Mus musculus: one gene and its partners. The protein of the gene in region 1 interacts with the protein of each later gene in a pairwise test. Links are inferred from orthologs where the notes say so. Each region holds a gene or a part of one and is shown on either strand. Other genes may lie near its edges.

Evidence for each region.
Region 2: the proteins of Sgta (region 1) and Cd99l2 interact in binary tests that used the Homo sapiens proteins (3 or more experiments, as listed by UniProt). The two-hybrid records come from large-scale screens. The link is inferred for Mus musculus from reciprocal best matches to the Homo sapiens genes SGTA and CD99L2.
Region 3: the proteins of Sgta (region 1) and Spp1 interact in binary tests that used the Homo sapiens proteins (3 or more experiments, as listed by UniProt). The link is inferred for Mus musculus from reciprocal best matches to the Homo sapiens genes SGTA and SPP1.

The regions. Positions count from the first base shown.
Region 1 is NC_000076.6:81,054,679-81,063,586, forward strand, and holds the start of Sgta (small glutamine-rich tetratricopeptide repeat-containing protein alpha), read right to left. Parts: upstream 5,594-8,908; 5' UTR 5,450-5,593; exon of another isoform or gene 5,240-5,449; intron 1-5,239. UniProt on the Homo sapiens protein: Co-chaperone that binds misfolded and hydrophobic patches-containing client proteins in the cytosol. Mediates their targeting to the endoplasmic reticulum but also regulates their sorting to the proteasome when targeting fails.
Region 2 is NC_000086.7:71,437,350-71,440,849, forward strand, and holds part of Cd99l2 (CD99 antigen-like protein 2 isoform 1 precursor), read right to left. Parts: intron 3,263-3,500; coding exon 3,176-3,262; intron 851-3,175; coding exon 785-850; intron 1-784. UniProt on the Homo sapiens protein: Plays a role in a late step of leukocyte extravasation helping cells to overcome the endothelial basement membrane. Acts at the same site as, but independently of, PECAM1.
Region 3 is NC_000071.6:104,438,111-104,441,553, forward strand, and holds the end of Spp1 (osteopontin isoform 4 precursor), read left to right. Parts: intron 1-115; coding exon 116-157; intron 158-1,154; coding exon 1,155-1,436; intron 1,437-2,118; coding exon 2,119-2,508; 3' UTR 2,509-2,943; downstream 2,944-3,443. UniProt on the Homo sapiens protein: Major non-collagenous bone protein that binds tightly to hydroxyapatite. Appears to form an integral part of the mineralized matrix. Probably important to cell-matrix interaction.

The sequences.
Region 1 (8,908 bases):
GGACAAGCTCTAGGCTGGTCTGGGCTATGGTGAAACCTTGACTAAACAAACAAATGAATAAATAAAAATAGGACCGGTGGGCCAGAAAGGTGGCTTAGTGGGTAAGCGAGCTTGCCCCAAGCCTGGCAACATAGTTCCATCCCTGGGTCCCACATGGAGGAGAGAGCTGACTCCTGAGCTGTCCTCTGACCATCACACAGACAGCAACACAGCACCTACACATGCACACAAACGGAAATAACTAGGGCTGGAAGATGGCTTAGAGAGCACAGTGCTTGCTCTGCAAACATGAGGACCTGAGTTCAAATCCCTAGCACCGATGTATGAAGCTAGGCACAGTGATACACTCTAACCCAGGGCTAGGTGGAGTCAGGGAACCCTGGGTGATGTCTGAGCAGGGAGCTCCTGGTCTGGAGTGGGCTAAGATGAGGGATGCATGCCCCATCAGAGAACATCTATCCTCCACGGAGGGCGTGGAGGTCCTCGGGAAAAGGGTGGAACTTTCTGCTGCAGTACCAGACCTGATGTGCAGGTCCTCTGTGACAGCACGGGTCTGTGGGCCAGCTACTGACAGGCACTGTCACCACTCAAAAGGGAACAGTGGCCCTGACAAGACCCCACCCAGCTGTGAACCACTGACACTTGGGGCATGAATCGCCTCCCCTGGGGGTGTCCAGCAACCGACATCCATTGACCTCTCTCTGTGGTCATGAGGCCCCAGTTCTCACATCCCGGGCCCGCAGGGTTTGGGAAGGTTCTGGCTAAGGGACAAAAGTCTCAAAGGCCTATTATCTCAGAACAGTGTGGGCTTTATGAGTATAGCTGCCCACCAGCCAGGCATGGTTTGGTCTGTGGGGCACAGGGGTGAGGGGGCAACAGGACCGGGTCCCAGAGTTCCCCTATATAGGAGGAAACTTAGCTCCTCACAGCTGTCTGCACACCTCTTTCCCCCTTCCACTCTTTCTGACATAGTGTGGCCACCCAGCCTCAGATTTACTGTCCTTGTCTCAATCAAACCCCAAACCCTGGGACAGGTGAGGTGGCCAAGTGGGTAACTGACCCTGCTAGGCAGGTGGAAGGCCCTGACTCAGGCCCCCAGCACCCACCCTATACGCTAGCTGTGGCTGTATGAACAGATCAGTAACCTGCGTGCCAGGTGCATGAGTGGAGACAGGAGGATGGCTGGGTTTTGCTGGCCACCAACCTAGTTTCAGAGACAGAGGTGCCCTGCCTGAAGGGAAAAGGCTGAAAAAGTCTGAGATTAGCCCGTTCAACAAATCAAGTTCCATCCCAGCTTATGCAAGTCCAAACCCAACCCAGCACAGCTCACGAGTGTCCTTCCCTAGGCCTGTCACAACTCACGAGTGTCCTTCCCTAGGCCTGTCACAGCTCACGAGTGTCCTTCCCTAGGCCTGTCACAGCTCACGAGTGTCCTTCCCTAGGCCTGTCACAGCTCACGAGTGTCCTTCCCTAGGCCTGTCACAACTCACGGGTGTCCTTCCCTAGGCCTGTCACAGCTCACGAGTGTCCTTCCCTAGGCCTGTCACAACTCACGAGTGTCCTTCCCTAGGCCCCTGTCCAGGACAAAGTTGATAAAAAGACAAGTGAGACCACAAAATGAAGGGCTTCACCCCAGAGACCCTATAGGCCCCGCCTTGCCTGTCTAGGCCCACCCAGCCTCCTTCCATACACAGCAACTCCCCAAACCGCAGTCCATATCCACTTGCAAGGCAAGCAGATGTCACAGCACACAGCCCTCAAAGACCTTGGCAGACCCTCACGTGCACCTGCATGGGGACAGAGGGAGCGGGAACTCCAAAACCCCAAAGTTTTAGGCTGGCCTCCTCCCCACACAGCAGACTGAAAACCTGAGGGCTCCACCCCCAGCCCTACCCTGCTCCCAAACCTCAGAGAGCCTCAGGCCTCATCTCAGTCTGTGAAACCCAGAGCATTCTGGACAGTCACCTCCTGAGCCTGAGCCCCAGCTGCCATCCACAGCACAGTGGTGGCAGAGCCAAGCTGAGAAGGTGGGCCTCTAAGCCATGAGAAGCCTCTTGGGAAACACAGCCCCCCTCCTTATAAAAACCTAACAGAGCAGGGGCTGAGGCTTAGGCACTCAAGGATGCTGCTGGAAGTTAAAAGCCAGCCTGGGCTGCAGACTGAGTTTGTCTCAGAAAACAGAGCAGGTGGTAGGGACAGCTCACTGCTTAGGAGCACTGCTGCTTTGCCAGAGGGCCGGGGTTCAGTTCTCAGCACCTAGATGAGCTACTCATAGCCACCTGAACTCCAGTTCCAGAGGACCCACACCCTCTTCTGGCCTCCATAGGCTCTATGTGCACATGCATGCACTCGCTCTCACGCACATACAAAATCAAGAATAAATCTTAAAACAAAACAAAAATAAACATATAGAAGCAGAGCATGCCTACACACTTGTCATCCCAGCACTCGGGAGGACTAGGAGTCCAGGGCTAACTAACCTCAGCTACAGAGTTGGAGGGCAGCCTGGAGTACATGAGCCCCTGCGTCAAACAGAAAGATATAGGGCTGATTCCCACAGAGACTCTTGCTCACAGGGTGGCAGGTATGTGACGTGGGCTGGAGGTGACAGATGGGAGTCACACTCTCTGCCAGGAAGCACTATGATAAACCCTTGGCCTAAATCCTCGGTACGACCAGAACTTCCTAGATACACACTCAGGAGTGCAGGATCACTTCAGGGCACGCTCTAGACAGCACCCTCCAAGCCCAGCCAGACCCGAGCATCAGCTGCCACCCAGCACGTGGGAGGCCGAAGCAGGAGGACTGCCACCAGTATAAAGGTGGCCTGGGCTGCAGACTGGCTCTGCCTGTTCCCTCCAACCTCTCAACTTCTCTGGAGGTCAGTGTGGCAAGTGCCGGGCTCGGCCACAGAGTCCAACTCTGTGCTGAGGACTCCAGTGTAGCTGCCTGGGCCAAGTCCCAATGGGTGGAGTGTCACTCGGCACACAGGAAGCCCTGGGATGCAGGAGGCCCCGTCTCAAAACGAAACACCAAGAAGGCTTGGAGTATGGTTCATTGTGGTGCCAACACCCTGCCATGAAGTACCAGCTGGGACCTCAGACAGCGGCTCCAGGTACTTAATCCAGTAGGCAATCCCTTACCCCGAGAAATGGGATGCACACACAACCTCGGGACCCATACAACCTATACAGAGGCCTCAGCGGTGAGGAGCCACTGGGCTCGGATTCCATTTTAACACCAGAGCCCAGTATGCACAGCTGGCTAGCCTCAAACTTAAGGCAATCCGCCCATGTCTGCCTCTGGAGTGCTAGAATTAAAGGCATGCTTCATTATCGGCTACCAGTAGCATCAATGTGTGTGTGTGTGTTTGTGTGCGTGCGTGCGCGCGCGCGCGCATGTATTTGTGTGTGTCTATGTGAGTGTGTGGTGTGTGTCTATGTGAATGTGTGTCTATGTGAGTATGTGGTGTGTGTATGTGTGAGGTGTCTGTGTGTGTATATGTGAGTGAATGTGTGATGTAGTATGTGTATGTGTGTGTAGTGTGCGTGTGTGTAGTGTGTGTGTGTGTGTCCATACACATGTGGAAACTAAAGGTAGATCAAGAGTGAGTATACTCCCTCCAGGCAGCATGTCATGTTTTAGAGGCAGTGTCTGTCCCTGGGACACGGAGCTGATGTTGGGACTAGGCAGGCTATGCAGAGAGCCCGGTATCTGCCTATCTTGTGCTCCCCCACACACACACTGAAATTACAAGTGCCCCCAGCACTCTCACCCAGCTTTTTCCATGGGGAATCCACAGGGAATTGAACTCAGACCCTCATGCCAAGCATGTTGCTCACTGAGTTGTTTCCCCAACAGAAGCACTGTTCTGTGGGCAATGTTCCTGACCCCCACCCAGTGTCAGTGTCACATCAGAAGCCCCTTCAGTCACACCGATCACAAACATCCCCATACACTGTCCCTGTGGATGAGAATGACCAATAAAAGGAAAGACTGATCAAATAAATGACCACAGAGGGACAAAACAGGAAAGTCATCTCAATCAACTGGTGGGGAACGTGTGCCTTCACCAGCCACCACAGAGGCTAACAGACCTCTGCTAATGGACCTTAGGACAATTAATGTCCAGGTGACAGACACAGAGACATAACAATTTCAACTGACTTTCTTTGTTTTTGTTGTTGCTAACATTTCATTTTTGGTTTTGGTTTTTCAGGACAGGGTCTCACTCTGCAACCTGGCTGTCCTGGAACTCATTCTGTAGACCAGAGGCTGGCCTCGAACTCTGAGAGCTCCTCCTGCCTCTGCCTCCTGAGTGCTGGGATCAAAGTCGGACACCACTACAACCTGGCTTTTGAGACAAGAGGATTTCACCATGTAGCCCAACATAGCCTTGAACTTCACTTCCATCCTCCCGATTCAGCCTCCTACAAGCTGGGATGACAGCCAGCAAGCCCAGCTTACAACTAAACGGGCCCAGACTGACATCCTTTTTACGTTAATTATGATGCCAGATGAGGTGGTGGCACCTACAGTCCTGGCAGAGGTGGCGCTGAGGCCAGCCTGGCTCACATAGTGAGTTCCAGGACAGCCAGAGACAGATAAAGACTTTGTCTCAAAACAAACAAACTATTAATTATGTCGATTTCATTTTCAGACAGGGTCTCACGTTGTGGTCCAGCTACCTCCACCGTGTTAGGTATCCAAGGCTGGGCCTGAACTCACTCCCCGCGATCCAGCTGTCTCCCCCTCTCAATTGAAAGACTGGATTATAGGTTGTGGACCAAAGTTCTAGACTATTTGCTCGAGTCTTTGCTTTTGGTTGTTTCGTTTTCTGAGACAAAGTATGTAGTCCTTGCTAGCATGGAAGTCCCACGATACTCCTGCCTCTGCCCATGTGTCAGCACACCTGCCTTACCATTGTTTTAAGAAAACTCCTCCTCAGAGAGGTCAAGCTATTTGCCCTAGCATGCACAGCTGGCCCTCTGCCCTTCAAACCCACACACTACCTACCTTTGGCACCAAAATCAAACACACCCTCCCAATGGGAAGGAGCACCCACAACTGCTCAGACAATGGTGACAACGTCCATTGTACAGAAGAGGAAAACTGAGGCTGTGGGCAGGCAACAGGCTAAGCAAGGTCACCAGGGTGAGGAATGGCAATGTAAGAGGGTCTTAGACCTTAGGGGCCCCGAGAAAACTGAGATCCGCCCCACACACACCTAAACGCTGACCTTTTCGTGAGAAAAAGCGACGAGGGGTGGGGGTGGGTTGGGACGCTGTCTGCCTCAGTTTCCTCTCTGCGCCGCCCGCTCACGTGACCCCGAAGAGAGCAGAAGTCCGGATCACAAGCCACCTTTGTCCCAGGGGCTCCCGAGCACAGCGAAGCTAAACCCACAGACCCCCGACGCCCATACGGGGCACGGCGGAGCCCCCAGCCTCACCTCTCAGTCGACCGAAGACCCGACCCACCGACGGCTGCGCCTGCGCACCGCGGCGCAGCCAAGCTCCGCCCTCAGGACCAAGACGCCTGCGCAGAAAAAAACCATTTCCTGTGTAGGTTTCCTTTTGCGCATGCGCTCAAGTGCACCCTTCGCTCTAAAACAGAAGTGACGTCACGCGAAGAGGGGGGTCACAAGCTGGTTGTTATGGAAACTGCCCTCTGGAGGCATCAGGAAAACCGGAAGTTAGTCTGACAGTCACCAAGCGGGTCAGGCCTAAAGCACGGTGGGGCGGCGGCGGACCCCTGAGGCACCAAGGCAGACCACGTGGTATGGAGTCTGTCACGTGATCTAGCTGCTTTCAGCAAGACAAATCTGAATCAAAGCCACTAACTGATGCTATGAAGTTTTTGGTTCTGTTTTCGTAATTTTTTTTTTTAAAGATTTATTTATTTTTATATGTAGGTACACTGTAGCTGTCTTCAGACACACCAGAAGAGGGCATCGGATCTCATTGTGGATGGTTGTGAGCCACCATGTGGTTGCTGGGATTTGAACTCAGGACCTTTGGAAGAGCAGTCAGTGCTCTTACCTGCTGAGCCATCTCACCAGCCCCCTGTTTTCGTAATTTTTTTTTTCTTTTTCCTTTTTTTAAAATGACAATACTACGAGCCCAGCCTGGCCCGGAACTCTTCATCCACTTCGCCCATCTTGGAAACTGGCATATCCCACTTTCTGTGAAAGCAGTAAGTGTGATTAACCACTAAACAATCTACTTCACTTATTTTTATATTTAAAACCTATTTACAAACTTATCTTTTGCACACCCCAACTTCTTTCTGATGCCTAAAAGAAAAACAAAGATTAGCAGCCAGACAGTGGTGGTGCTCGCCTTTAATCTCAGCACTGGAGAGGCGGGGGAATCGCGGTGAGTTTGAGGCAAGCCTTGTCTACAAAGGATAGCCAAAGCTACACAGAAAAACCTGTCTCAAAAAATAAAAACAGGAGCCGGGCGTGGTGGCCCACGCCTTTAATCCCAGCACTCGGGATGAGTTCGAGGCCAGCCTGGTCTACAGAGCGAGTTCCAGGACAGCCAGGGCTACACAGAGAAACCCTGTCTCAAAAAACCAAAAATAAATAAAAAAATAAAAATAAAAATAAAAACAGGTCGGGCGTGGTAGCGCACGCCTTTAATCCCAGCACTCGGGAGCCAGAGGCAGGCAGATTTCTGAGTTCCAGGCCAGCCTGCTCTACAAAGTGAGTTCCAGGACAGCCAGGGCTATACAGAGAAACCCTGTCTCGAAAAACCAAAAAAAAAATTAATAAATAAAAATAAATAAAACCAACTTATCTTTACTTTTGAATTATGTGGATGTCTATGTGTGGGTGTCTGCATGGGAATACAGTGCCTATAAAAATCAGAAGAGGGCATGGAATCCCCAAGGCTAGAGTTGGGTGCAGTGCAATTCAGGCCCTCTGCAAAAGCTGTATGTACTCTACTTTTTTTATTTTCTTTGAGACAGGGTCTCATACCGTAGGCAAGGTTGGGCTAAAACTGCACTACCCAGTTTGCAATATGTACTCTTAACCATTGAACTATCTCTCCTATTTTCATTTTACCATGTCTTACTATGTAGCTCAGGTTGACCTTAAATTTATGGAATTCCAGGTGGGCCATGGTGGCACAGGCCTGTAATCCCAGCGCTCAGTAGGCAGAGGCAGGAGGATCTCTGTGAGTTCCAGGACAGCCAGGGCCACACAGAGAAACCCTGTCTTGGAAGCAGAAAAGAAAAGCAAGAACTCTGTCCATCCCCCTGCATCAGTGTCCAAGTGCTGATATGATATGCTGTGATCCTGCCAATCCTCTGCACACACCCCACCTTTGACATGGCGTAGTTATAATTACCAAACTTAGTGTCCTGGGTTGGTTAGGGATGTGAGGTGTGCAATAAGTCAGGATAGAAAAGCTGTGAGGGACGTGAGAGGAGAGAAGATGTTGCCACCTTCACAGGAACTGATGCCATTCTCTATCAGAGAATTCCAGGGCAATTACCAACTCTTTAAGACTTTTCTTCTTTCCAGGGTGAAAACATACTGTTTTCTAGAAATCTTGCCAAAAATTCCCTTTACAGGGAAAGGGTACTGACATAATGAAACCCTCTTACAACCTGTGATTTCTGATCTTTATCTCATCAGATTAGTTTTAACTATCGAATTGACACAACCGAGAATCGCTTAGCAAGAGTCTCCATGAAGTGCCTAGATGAAGTTGGTCTGCTTGTGGGGGTGACCTTGATTAAACATAAGTGACACCAGGCTTGGTGGCACACCTTTAATCCCAGCGTTTGGGAGGCAGAGGCACAAGGACTTCTGAGTTCAAGGCCAGCCTGGTCTACAAAGTGAGTTCCAGGACAGCCAGGGCTATACATCGAAACCCTGTCTCAGGGGAAAACAAAAAACAAAAAACAAAAAACCAAACATAAGTGACATGAGAAGGCCCCGCCCATTGTGGGTGGCACCATCCCCAGGAAAAGAGATGCTGAAGGAAAACAGGCTGGGAAAGACACTGCGTTTGTCTCTCTGCTTTTGACTGTGTATCCGTGTGGCCTGCTTCGGTTTTGACTCCCTCTCCCCCTTGCCCCATGATGGCCTATCTCAAATCACCTTGGCAAACTCTGCTTCAGGAACTGGCCACTAGTGTTCTTGTGCATTATATAAACTTTACTCTTGTGTTACTCAAATGCTGATCTCTGCTCTCTTATCTTGTTTCAATCTTGGGACAGGGCATTGTAATGCTTATACCAAGAATATCCTGTCTCAAGTTTGTGTAAACAGTTCTTCCCATCTATTCTCTGCCTTGTCAATAAATGCTGATCACCCAATGGCTGGGCAGAAGAGAAAATAGGGTGGGACATCGGCCAGCCAGAGGAAGGAGAGGAGAGAAGGAGATTCAGATCAGTGAGGAGGATGGGAGATTTAGAGCGGTGAAGGAAGGGGTCAGGAGCGAGATCATGGAGGCACACCTGAAGCCCTAAGAGCCAGAGCAATAGCAACATGCCAGTACTGTGGGCTGGCCTGGGAGGCAGCCGAGTTAGCAGAGACAACTAAGGCAGATGATTGAACTGCTCAGATACTGAAGTGGAGTTTTAAATAAATGGTTTTTTCTATGTGATTATTGAGGAATGTATAAAGTAAAGAAATACAGCCACTGGGTTAATTCGTTACTAACATTTATATAAAGAATAATTTGGGCTGGAGAGATGGCTCAGTGATTAAGAGCACTAACTGCTCTTCCTGAGGTCCTGAGTTCAAATCTCAGCAACCACATGGTAGCTCACAACCATCTGTAATGAGACCTGATGCCCTCTTCTGGTGTGCCTGAAGACAGTGACAGTGTATGCACATACATAAGATAAATAAATAACCTCTTTTAAAGAGGAATAATTCATTTATAGGCCCCTC
Region 2 (3,500 bases), on another chromosome or scaffold:
TCAGACTAGATCAGAACTTCGAGAGAGTCTGATCCCATGGTTTAGTTTTCTTACACATTTAGACACAGTCAAACTTCAGGGAAGGCTACATTGAAATTCTGTTGCAAATTCTGTGATCTTTACAGTAAGAATGAACTCTATTGGCTGATAAGCAGTGCTCAGGGCTAGGGCCTAGTGGGGAAGGATGTGGGATTTGTTTGTTTGTTTGTTTGTTTTGTCTTTTTAAATTGAAAATAGATTCTTCTTTCATACAACACCTCCCAAGGACAGTTTCCACTGCCTCTAGTCTACCAGGAGGGAAGCATGAATTTTCCTGGGAAGGGGAAATAGAATGCAAAGATATTTTGTAAAAATCTGATTTGCTAGGGGCTTCTTTAAAATGTTTGCCATGTTTGCTTAACATGGCAACCCTCACACTGCATAGAAAAATGGCTCTCCAAGCATTTGTATCAAGGGCTGTCTCCTTGATACTATGATGCTCCATGTGACTGTCCTACTACAGGCCACTGTCCTTGCTGCTGCCTTATAAGGTGCACCCAGGTTGTGGGGATACTAGCTCATGAAGTACCTTGGTTTAAAGAACAACAGGGCAAATGGACAGCTTCTCCAGGATGGCTTACAAATGGGCTCCCACCCACAGGAATGAGAGCCCTCTCCACCTTACAAGTGCAAATGACTAAGCCTGATTTTCCAGAGGCTAAGAATGGCATGTTTTACCTGAAGGCCAAATGGTCAACATTTTAAGGAGAATTTGGTCTGTTATCAGACAAAGCAATACTCCTACCTTTATTCTTGTCAGGTTTGTATCCCCCACCTTCCACGATGTCTTCAAGATCCTTGTCTGACCAACCTATGAAAGAAACCCCATACATTTCACTGGCAAAAAAAAATCTTTGCAGCAAATACTTGGATTAGTAAATGTTGTCCATGACATGTGGGTATTCTTCATGGTACCGGGATTCTGGTTCAGTGGTACAGCAGATAGAAGGCCCTGAGAACCAGGCCTTGTGCCCAAACTAAGGAGGGATTCGGGAAGAAGGAAGAGGAAGGGGAGGAGGAGGAGCAGGAAGATGAAAAAGGATGATGGTAGTAGGCAAAAATTCCAACTAGCCCCTCAGATTGCTCACTGCCAGCGTATGTGTTCTGCCGAACCTCCAATCACCTTGAGTGTGTGTGTGGTCCCAGAGAGAATGAATATGATCCTAGTGATTAAGCTCAAAGTGATTTTTGTCAAAGTAATTAAGGACCTCAATCAGCCAAGTGAACTCTTTCGAAGCTAGTTTAGGGCATGCCTAAGCTCAGACACTAGACGTTAAAGTCTCTTTTCTTTCTCTCGCTTCTCTTAAAAGAGCCACTCACTGCCTCTATAGCTGAAGAGAAAGATACTCTATCAACAACCACATGACCTTGTTTTGAAGAGAATCTAAGCTCAGATGAGACTCCATCCGAGTACCTTGATTGCAGCGGAGACTCTGACCCTATAGAAAACTCAGCTTCTTAAGTGAACGAAGGAAATCTTAACACATTTATATAAAAATAAATCTCCTCAACTTTCACATGATTTGTGAATCATAGATAATCAATACAAGAAGCAGAATCACCATTAAATAGTTCAACTATTAAGTACACATCTTTCTGAACATCCTAATGCTTTGTGTGCAAAATGTGCTTAAAGCCTTTCCACTGTATTCCAAAGTACTGAGGGTGATTTGCAAAGTCCCTTGGGTCACTGGACCTTTTCTTAGTTGGCTTTATCAGCTTTGTGTCATGAAACCACTTTTGTCAGGCAGAATGAATGCTGTACCGACTTGATTATTTGGGAAGCATTTCTTACAACTGAATGAAATGAGTCCATCAGTTGAGGACAGCCACCTATAGCACTTGTCAACAAGATTTCTACTGAAGCCTTTATAAGCTACCATGACTCTAATAGTATCCGACTAAATACTTTTGCCAGTAGTATTGATGGTGTTAGCAGCGAATTAGATTTTGTTTTTTTTTTTTTTTATTATAGTGTGTGGCATTACACTGACGTTTGATAAACCTTAAGCAAACACGGTTTTCCAAACAACTAACGTGCAATGTTACAAAACAACAAATAGGCACAAGTCCATTGAATGGGTACTGTAGTTCAAATCTGAAATGACCCTCATGCATTGGGACACTTGAGCCCTGTTTTTTGGAAATATGTCACTGGAAGCTGACATTTGAGCTCCGCTAGCCCACTTGCTGTCTCTGTGTCGTTGCTTCCTGGTGTGGCTACAATGTGAACAGCTGAGTCAGATTGGGGCCCCATCACTTCGGAAACGATAGGCTGGATGGATCCTTCCTCTTCCCGTTGCTTGCCAGTCATGTGCTCAGGGCAACCAGAAAAGGAATTAAAGGGGAACTGAGTAAGGTAAGGTTACTAAACATTTGTTAAAATGTATTTTTCATTCATGTTTGGGTTTTTTTGTTTTTTAATATGTTTTAATTAATTAATTTTTTACACTCCATATTTTATCCTCCCCGTCTCCACCCTCCAACTCTTCCATATCCCATCCTCCTCCCCACCCCCTTGTCTCCACGTGATGTAGCCCACCCCCCATGACACCTGTTTGTTTTAAAACCCTTTTAAATGTAATGGCATTTAAGTGTGTGTGTGTGTGTGTGTGTGTGTGTGTGTGTGCAGGAATGCATATGCCACAATACACATGTGTAGGTCAGAGGACAGCTTTCAAGCTACATATCTCAATATGAAAATCCAGGTATCTCCTAGGAAGATTGACATTCTAGAAATTTCTAAGAAATGTAAAATAATGCCACTCTCTCACTAAACTGTTTTTATCTTGCCACAAAAATTTCTCATACAATGTGCTATTTATATTAATATTATTATTTAGTATTAATCATTTTACACTAATAATACTGAATTTTTAAAAAAATATATACAGATGTTAAACTCGGATGGATATGATCCACATAGACAAAAGTTATTGAAATTCCCAATAATTTGGAGAATCCCAAGATCAAAATATATCAGTATTACTATTGTAGGGCTCTCCTACAGCTTGAAGTGGCCTGGATCTACAGTACTCTAGATGGCTCAGAATTCTATTACAGGTAATAGGACAGACCCTACCAGGAACTGTAGCACTGGCCTGTGATATCAAGCATCCAAGCATCTAGAACTTACCTCCTGCTTCTCCTGCACTTGGCTTTTTGGGACCATCTAGATCATTTCGATCATCCAAGGCATCTTCCAAGTCAAACCCATCTAGTTCTGGGGACCACAGAGCAAAAGAAACAATCACCATTGTGCTGGCTAGTTTTTATGTCAACTCAAGCTAATGTCATCTAAAAGGACGGGACCCTGTTTGAGAAAATGCTTCCATAAGCTCAGGCTGTCAGGCATTTTCTCAATTATCAACCATTGGGGAAGGACCCAGCCTATTGTAGGTGGTGCCATCCCTAGGCTGGTGGTCTTGGGTTCTATAAGGAATCAAGCTGAGCAAAACAGT
Region 3 (3,443 bases), on another chromosome or scaffold:
TGTATCATCTGGCAGGCTGAAACATGACACCTGCATTAGGATGAAAAGGGTAACTTTAGAATTAAGCAACTGATCATGTATGTTGTGTACTGATATGTGACCTTCCTTTTTTCAGAATGCTGTGTCCTCTGAAGAAAAGGATGACTTTAAGCAAGAAGTAAGTTCTCACATTCACTGAGACCTATTTTTAGAGACACCGAGGAAGCCACCACATCATTTTCTTCAGATTGTCAGTCCCTTAGAAAGTATCCAAGTAAATCTCCATTCAAAAACTTGCTTAGAGGGGCTCTGTGTTCATTCATCACCAAAATACACAGGCTCTTCAGAGAAGTTTAGTGTTACAGAAAGTGCCTACTCGTGCCTGCTATTTGAAACTTTAAGCCTCTTGTAAAATATGAAAATACGAAAAGAAGTTTACAGTATTTTAACTAATATTTGATGACTATATCATCAATGCTTAGCCAAGCCAAGATACTTTAAAGTGTTCATGTTGATAATATTAAAGATTATTTAATAAGTGTTCTTTCCCTATTTGCTGACTAAATAAATAAAAATTTCCCTCAAGATTAAATTTAACATAGAGACAATTTATGATAAGAAAAACTAGATCAAAAGAACCATAACTTTTGTAGATTTGTAGATTAATAGATTTTAATCTCTAGTTCACTGTATGGATTTTGGCTACAGTTTGTACACCCATGTATAACAGAGCCATTTCTTAACTACCTTTGACAACAGGGAGGCAATTATAGATTTTGATCTTTATATTAATATACAGATGATCTGATGTCTTAGGGAACTATGTTTCAGATTAAAGAAACTCAATCTAGCAATTTTTTGAATTTAGTAAATTAATAATGTATACTATTTACAAGGAAATATGTGTTATCAATATGAATGTTTTACTTTTAAGTTTGACTTGAAAATATCTAAGAAAGTGATATTTTATTTAAAAGACAAAAAAAGTGCCTCAGAATGTTATTTCATTTGTTTGTGTGTTAAAAAGCAAACAAGAGGCCCATTTCATTAGCTTAAAACCATAGAATGTAATGTAAACACAAAGACTTTGAAATTCAATTAAAATGTTTCAACGAAGCTATTGTAGTCTAAAACCCAAGCGCTAATTTACTGAGCCAACTTGCTTTGTGATTTAGACTCTTCCAAGCAATTCCAATGAAAGCCATGACCACATGGACGACGATGATGACGATGATGATGACGATGGAGACCATGCAGAGAGCGAGGATTCTGTGGACTCGGATGAATCTGACGAATCTCACCATTCGGATGAGTCTGATGAGACCGTCACTGCTAGTACACAAGCAGACACTTTCACTCCAATCGTCCCTACAGTCGATGTCCCCAACGGCCGAGGTGATAGCTTGGCTTATGGACTGAGGTCAAAGTCTAGGAGTTTCCAGGTTTCTGATGAACAGGTAAATGATGAACAGACATGTTGAAGGGCTATGGCTTGATCTCACTTCTAGGAAACCAGAGTCTGCAGATTCACTCACTCTTCATCAAGCACTGTACATTTATATGAAATCTACTGTATGACCTTTGAATACAGAGCTTTTTTTTTTTAATGGTCCTGTTTAAAAGTGTGTGTGATGTCTTTTTAATTTTACCTATCGCACACAATGTCATCTTTCCATATTCAAAGTCTTAGCAATATTTAAGAGCAATTTATGTTATTAAATAGCTACTTTGGAAAATAGCAATTATATGTTAAAAATAATGGCCATATATAGAAAACAGTCATATATAATGGAAGCTAAGTGGGTAAGAGGAATTGTAAAGTCACTGTTACAATGAACTTAGTCCGGCTTAGACTTAGCCTTGGCGTTACTGTTCAGTTTAACTTTAACGCTCAATGCCTTTTCATCAGAGATAGAACCTTATAGGTTTTAACACACACAAAGATGATATCCCTATTAAACCAGAAATGATTGATATGAAGCTGACTGGTGAAATATAAAGTACACACTAATATTATTTTTCTTCAGTCAAAATTTTAAAAATATTCAGTACAGTTTGACCTAAAAGTTAGAGATCAAAGCATTATGATGCTCTTGTTCCTGTCTGTTTATATAATTCTTCAATTTGTTCTTGATTCAGTATCCTGATGCCACAGATGAGGACCTCACCTCTCACATGAAGAGCGGTGAGTCTAAGGAGTCCCTCGATGTCATCCCTGTTGCCCAGCTTCTGAGCATGCCCTCTGATCAGGACAACAACGGAAAGGGCAGCCATGAGTCAAGTCAGCTGGATGAACCAAGTCTGGAAACACACAGACTTGAGCATTCCAAAGAGAGCCAGGAGAGTGCCGATCAGTCGGATGTGATCGATAGTCAAGCAAGTTCCAAAGCCAGCCTGGAACATCAGAGCCACAAGTTTCACAGCCACAAGGACAAGCTAGTCCTAGACCCTAAGAGTAAGGAAGATGATAGGTATCTGAAATTCCGAATTTCTCATGAATTAGAGAGTTCATCTTCTGAGGTCAACTAAAGAAGAGGCAAAAACACAGTTCCTTACTTTGCATTTAGTAAAAACAAGAAAAAGTGTTAGTGAGGGTTAAGCAGGAATACTAACTGCTCATTTCTCAGTTCAGTGGATATATGTATGTAGAGAAAGAGAGGTAATATTTTGGGCTCTTAGCTTAGTCTGTTGTTTCATGCAAACACCGTTGTAACCAAAAGCTTCTGCACTTTGCTTCTGTTCTTCCTGTACAAGAAATGCAAACGGCCACTGCATTTTAATGATTGTTATTCTTTTATGAATAAAATGTATGTAGAAACAAGCAAATTTACTGAAACAAGCAGAATTAAAAGAGAAACTGTAACAGTCTATATCACTATACCCTTTTAGTTTTATAATTAGCATATATTTTGTTGTGATTATTTTTTTTGTTGGTGTGAATAAATCTTGTAACGAATGTAAGGAGTCTGGTGGTGTCAATTATTCTTTATTAGTTTCTCAAAATTATTTTGTAATGTCTAAAATATAACCATTTCAATGGACATGCCCAGTTTAATTAAAGCCATTTAGGGTTTTAATGGTCAGAGGAACACAGATTACCCGGGAGTTGACAGCAGCCAGAACCTACAAGGCTCCCTCAGGAAATATTCTCACCTAAGTATGACATATACTAATTAATATATGAGCGAGCAAAAGCTTGAAACTTGAATGGAATTAGAAGTTGATTGTTTATGTTTTCTATCATCTTTGCTCAGTAAATGTGTGGCTTTCTTGCCCTAATAGAACCTTGTGTCTGTCTTCTAGCTATTCTAGTAATTCTTAGGTAAGAATGTGTGCGTGCTTCTGTGTGTGTGTGTGTGTGTGTGTGTGTGTGTGTGTGTGTGTGTGTGGTGTGTGTGTTTCAATTGAAAACCAACGTTCTCAGTTTCATCCAAATATGAACTTTCAGAAATATTGTAGTGCCA